2 linked regions of the Kluyveromyces lactis genome follow. The protein of the gene in region 2 interacts with the protein of the main gene of each other region in a biochemical or structural test. Links are inferred from orthologs where the notes say so. Each region holds a gene or a part of one and is shown on either strand. Other genes may lie near its edges.

Region 1 (2,628 bases), on a different chromosome or scaffold from region 2:
AAAACCAAATTGAACTAAACAAAGCCATAGGTGACTTTTTTATCAATACACTTTCAAGCAAGGAAACAAAAGCACCAGTAGTAGTAGATTTTATGAACACATTCTTTGAAATATACTCAGACATGAACTTTGATTACGATGAACCAGTATTTGTAAACTTGAACTATCTTTCGATACTTCAAACACAGGTTTCATTAAATTTGAAGAATGTTTTCAAGTTTGTTGACAAGAACAAAGATCCTCAACTGAAAGAAAGATGTCAGGATTGCTTTTCTACATTGGATAGTTTTATTGCATACAAACAAAATGAACGTAACAAATAAAACAATAAATATATACAGTCTACACCTGATAATAGTAAAATACAAAATAATTGAATAAATCAAGTATTCATTAGCATTATTCTTGATATTAATTTTAAATTTTACACGAGAACTATACACCTACTGGATCGTTCCATCCTATGATATATCTCTATACAGCCATATAACAATGGTCAACACCGTAGAATAAATCGAGCCATAGAATACAGCAAATTTATTTGATTTGCGCTTTACGCTGGGGAAGGCCCAGGGTTTCCCGCAAGTTGATATCTGCCGTCATCTGCGTATTTGCATTTTCTCTGTCAGTAAATGGTTTACTTCCGAAGTTGTATTATGGAGGTATCACTTGGTATACCTAAGAGCTTGTTCTGAGACTTTCCTCTCATATTCCTTAATGTTTTTCGAGAAAGCTCTCCAAGCTGGCTCTTGCGCAGGTGAGTTAGGGTTCGGAGAATCCAAAAGATCCTGTACACCAAGTAAGAGTTGTTTCAAGGTGATAGCAGGTCTCCAGTCCTGATCTTCGTTCAAGATTGATAAGCAAATGGTTCCACTGGGATAAACATTAGGGTGATAAAATCCTGCTGGAAATTTCACTTTAGGAGGTTTTGACGGATAGTCATCAGGATATTCAATGGTCAAAGGATAAAGACCATTTTTCCAGAGAGTGCCGTCTCTTCCAGGGATACCAGCCTCCCATTTCTGCAAGTTCATAGATCCATCTGTCTTTTTAGTTGGTTTGGCAAAGAACCCATAAGGATGATCTTTTCTCCACTTCTTTCTCTCCTCTTGTAACCTCTGTAGACAAAGACTACTCATGACTGTTTATATTATTCGGCCGTTCTGATCGTCGAGTCGCTTTAATATACAGATACCGTAAATATATTAAGGTACGTTGCGCCCTGTTGTAAATAGAGCCTTAACTCAGATTTACCGTTGTTGAATAATTGGAGGATATGATATTCCGTGCGATACGTCTTTTTGTTTGTGATTTTGAAGATGATTTTGATATTGTAGAAAAAGCATCAATAGTGTTTTGAAGAAAAAGTGATATTTTTCAGAATTGACAGTGACTAAAGAAACCTTAACTGAGGTATAATTAATAGTAAGGGCTACGCACCACCAAAATTTCAACGGATAGTAATCAGATACTTCGACAAACGATGTCAGACAACAAAGTTGACGAATTTGATGATTTGGATGACTATTTAGAGGATCCACGCAAACTGGATGAACAGGAAAAACAAGAAACTGTTCCAAATGAGGCAGTTACTAAGGGTGAGCCTGCTACGCAGAGCGATGATCCAGAAGTAGTCGAGATGATGGAAGATTTGCAGAAACAGTTCCAACAATTGATGCAGCAGGAAGGCGGTGATACTGACCAAGAAATGGTTCAGAATTTCGAGACATTGCTAACTGTACTTGGAGATGCATCGAAGGAGAAAGACCATAACAGTGTAAAACACGTTCAGGAGCAATTGAAGAGCGGTACTGGTTTCAAGAATATCATTTCCAACACCCTAGATAGATTGAAAGAAAATTCTACGAAAGTGGATGAAAGTTTGGAGGAAGAGAAGAAAAATCAGAACTCAGACGATATTCTTTCCCAATTGCTAGATCAACTAGTGGAAAACGGCGATGGCAACGGTACGGACGGAGAAGGAATGGACAATGCCATTTTGAAAATGCTTTCACAAATGTCTTCTAAAGAAGTGCTATATCAGCCGATGAAACAAATGCAGGGAGAATTCACCGAGTGGATGGGATTACACGAAGAAGACCCCGAACACAGCGACAAGATTGATAACTACAAGAAACAGTATGCACTTGTGAATCAGATCATCGGTGTATTCGAAAGCGATGATTATACGAATGAAAAGTACCATGCTGAGATCGCAGATCTATTGGATGAACTAGAGCAACTCGGTGACTCACCGGTTGCAAAGGGAACTAGTAACGATCCTGGAAACGATATGTCAGAATTAGCCAAGATGCTGGAAATACAAGGAGATGAAAATCTAGGTAACATCGACAAAGACCTTGAAGATACCTGCAAACAGCAATAAAATGTGTATATGAGCTCATAATATAATATTTAATCATAATAAACTATTATTCTATTTCTTTCACTCTTTGCCTATTAGTATGATATTCGAATAATATGGCTATTTTTCTCTTTTCGACTTTGAAATTCATATTGAGGACTGAAATCACGAGACTAGCTCTAAACCAATAATAACCAATATACTATGCAAGATTGAATATATGTGACAACTTTTTGCCATAAGGTATACGGGACAGTGCACTC
Region 2 (3,464 bases):
AACAGAACTCGAAGAATCAGACATTTCATCTGCCGAAAAGGATACAGAAGCTAAATCGAGCTTCTCATCCAGCACTACTATTTCTTCCTCCATTACCAAAACAGCGGATCAGGAAAGCGAATTCATAGTTACTGTTTCCGAAGAATTAACAACATCGGGAAGTTCATAATCGGCGATGGATGATTCAATTGCAGCTGCAGACTTAAACGAGCTTAAGGCTGTCGGTAATATTGAATCAATAGAAGCTTTTGAGTCACCTGTAATCTCTTCGGACATATTGGACACTGAATTAAACCCTACCAACGCTGAAATCGAAGAAAATATTATGGGTGCCCAAAGTGATAGCAATGTCGAGGAAACAAGAGTACAATCAGCCCCATCGCAATCTGGAGGTCGCAATTTAGAGGGAAGAGAAGATATCCTTAATGAATCTCCTGACATCATTCAAGATGAATTATAGATACTATATACTGATATACGATAAATAATGAAAAGTTGAGAATATTAGATTCTATTAATTATTCTCTGACGTTTGATCAATCTTTAGTATAGGTTCCGAACTTACTTCTGAGTTCGCATCACTCTTCTGGGAGAGCTCTTCCTTCTTCATCTTTGCAAGTTTATCGGAACGTTGTGCTTCCAATTTTAATGCTTTAAACGTTGACGTGTGATGTCTCATCCAACCTTTTCTATCAAATCTATCGCTTTTAAAAAGTTTGATCATGGCACTTATAGCATTAGTACGTTTATTACCCCTGAGAAGGTTAGTTATGCTATTGCTATCAGAAGAATGGTCTGTATTGTGCTTAGCTTCCCAACTGGATAGACGACGTTTAAGTTCATTTTCGTCAACAGGATCAATTGAATCTAAAAAATTACTATTCCATAACATTTCGTAATGCTTGTATCGCGCTACCATTTGCTGTTTGGTGCCATTTGATGGTAGAGCCAAAGAAGCAAGCTTCTGTTTCAATTGTGTCATAGATAAAGACTGAAAATCCAATCTTGGTAATCTATTTTCCTTTTGCTGCAGCAGCCCAGAATTTAAGTACCTCTCGTTATGGTACGTGATATCCTTCTTTTCTTTTACCTCTAGCAAATGTGAAGACGGCAGGCTAGTCTTCTCTTCTAGTGGTTGATGCGAAGATTCCATCGAAGGGGAGGGTGTACGTTCATCCAAAATCTCAAAAGAATCCGATCTCTCCAAACTACTACCTTTGTTCAAACACTCATCAATATGCGAACCTTCTAATTCTGAAAGCGGCAGGTGCTTGGAGCATATAGGACATTGTGCCTTCTTCTCTTGCCGCTGTGGATGATCCGTTTTCTTTTTCATTAACAACGTTGTTATACCATCATGTTTTCTCTTTTTAGTACTTACTGAAGATAAAGATGGGCTATCTGGAGTACCCCTCTTTGTACCTACAGATGTATCTGCCTCGTCAGATATTATTATTTCATTATCTTTTTCCTCTTCCTGAGATGATATTGTCAAGTGTTTCTGCAAAGAACCTCGCAGTTTCACGTAACTTGAACAAATCTCTTGTACTAGAAACTCTTTTTGTAGCATAGACTCAGTGAGGTCACTGAGACATAATGGGCATTTGCTCTCTTTCTGAAGGTACTTTCTTATGCAAATGGAACAGAAACTATGACCGCATGGCGTCAAGACCGATGCCTTTAAAAAATCTTTGCAGATATGACATCGAAGAAGTGAATCGAGGTCAGTAAGTTGCGGAACACTCGTGTGAAGAAAATCACGAGGATTCGATATAGTTTCAGGTACACTTAGCTTCATGACAGTTCTGGTTGATTCCTCTGCACTCCAGCATTTAATGTTTGATACTTTTCAGAAGGTAACTCGGATTATCTGCTTTTAGCTTCTTTTTATCGTATTTTAGTAATTTACAAAGTATGGCATAATATTGAAGCACTATTCAGAGCTAATTAAACAACGATGAAACGAAGTCAGATCAAATAACAAAGCCATATGGTCTATCAGGATAATATCCTTTGATTGTAAATATCGGTTAGAAGGAAATGTAAGAATTAAATATGATTGATATAATGATACATACATTAGCAATAACTATTGCAAATAAAAATACTTTAAAAAGGACACCAATGAATAAAAGAAAGGCGCGTACACTACAATAATTGAACGCAGGAATGAAATAAATTGAAAGAAATAAAGGAGACAAATAACTCAGCCATATAAAGAAACCCAAGCGTCAGGCAGATTGTGAAGAAAAACAAAAAATATGGTCATCGAGATAACGACAGACTCTATATGAAAAAGAAAGCAAACATTAGTTCATCCCATCAAAAGGAGGGTCCAAATCGTTTTTTGTTACCTCTTCTCGATAGCTATCTACTTCATCATTGCTGTTACAATGAGCAATCGCCCTTTTCCACACTGAACAAACATCAACACCAAAAAGAATGTTTGATGAATATTTGGAGTGATCAATTAATCCTGATTGACTGGATTCCTTGGGAGAAGTTTGATCTCTGAGACTCAACTTTCGGGGAGAATCAATACATTTCTTTTCTGTGTCATACTGTATCATACAATCATCTATAGATTGATTGATTACGTTTCTGAAAAACACTGGTGATGACGCATAATAATCTTCAAATAGACGAGACGGGCTTTGCCAAGTTCTGGTAGACGCCGGTGGGTTCAGACCATCTTTATTGAAATCTTTAGGTGTTGAAAAAATATTGAATTTCAGAGGAGTGACAGAGCTTTCCCTAATAGGTGTCTTTGAATTTTGCTGGTTAACTGATGGCAGCTGCAGCTTGTTCATCGGAGATACGGGTTCAAATGATGTGTTGAAAGAACACGAATATTTTTTGAATTTAGGAGAAGAGACGGCAGCAACCATTAAATCATCATATTCATGGTTATGTGCACTGACAGAGCGATGGTTAAATTTCAACGGGCCCACCAGATGACTAGAGTCTTGTCTTTTGACCATATTTTCATCTTCGTAATACAGGAAGTCTTTATCCGTAGCCGGAAACTGATGGCTTCCATGACCAGCAGCTTCGGCGTGATCACCTAATCGTGGCGATGAAGGTATATTGGTTATTGAAGTTGATTCTTCGTCACCGTCACTGCTTTGATCCAAGGAAGTATCACCCGCGTCACCAATATCACTCGATTTGTCATCCATGGTAGAAATTGAAAATGACTTATTTTTCCTTTTCGACTTATTGTACGAGGCAATTGATGATCCATTAAAACTGGACGTGGTACTGCCAGCTTCATAACCATCATCCAAATTCACACTCTTGAATCTTTGTAGCTTTACCTTAAAATCATCAATGGAAAAACTTTCATCATTTTTGAAGAACTTGGATTCATACCCAGGTTTAATTTCCCAGAAATGTCCCTTCCCGTCCAAAGATTTACCACCTTTAACAAACGCTTCGTTCAAAGACAAGTTGTGCCTAATAGA

What was found.
Region 1: the proteins of RAD18 (region 2) and UBC9 form a complex in vitro, tested with the Saccharomyces cerevisiae proteins (2 studies listed by BioGRID, with this or other methods). The link is inferred for Kluyveromyces lactis from reciprocal best matches to the Saccharomyces cerevisiae genes RAD18 and UBC9.

The regions. Positions count from the first base shown.
Region 1 is NC_006041.1:441,957-444,584, reverse strand, and holds UBC9 (E2 SUMO-conjugating protein UBC9), read right to left. Parts: upstream 1,140-2,628; coding exon 666-1,139; downstream 1-665. Other genes in the region: SYO1 (Syo1p), read left to right, coding at 1-323; PEX19 (Pex19p), read left to right, coding at 1,484-2,386. UniProt on the Saccharomyces cerevisiae protein: E2 ubiquitin-like--protein ligase mediating SUMO/Smt3 attachment to septins and PCNA. Seems to be involved in degradation of S- (CLB5) and M-phase cyclins (CLB2).
Region 2 is NC_006039.1:765,333-768,796, forward strand, and holds RAD18 (E3 ubiquitin-protein ligase RAD18), read right to left. Parts: upstream 1,799-3,464; coding exon 515-1,798; downstream 1-514. Other genes in the region: GTPase-activating protein SED4, read left to right, coding at 1-169; HCM1 (Hcm1p), read right to left, coding at 2,310-3,464. UniProt on the Saccharomyces cerevisiae protein: E3 RING-finger protein, member of the UBC2/RAD6 epistasis group. Associates to the E2 ubiquitin conjugating enzyme UBC2/RAD6 to form the UBC2-RAD18 ubiquitin ligase complex involved in postreplicative repair (PRR) of damaged DNA.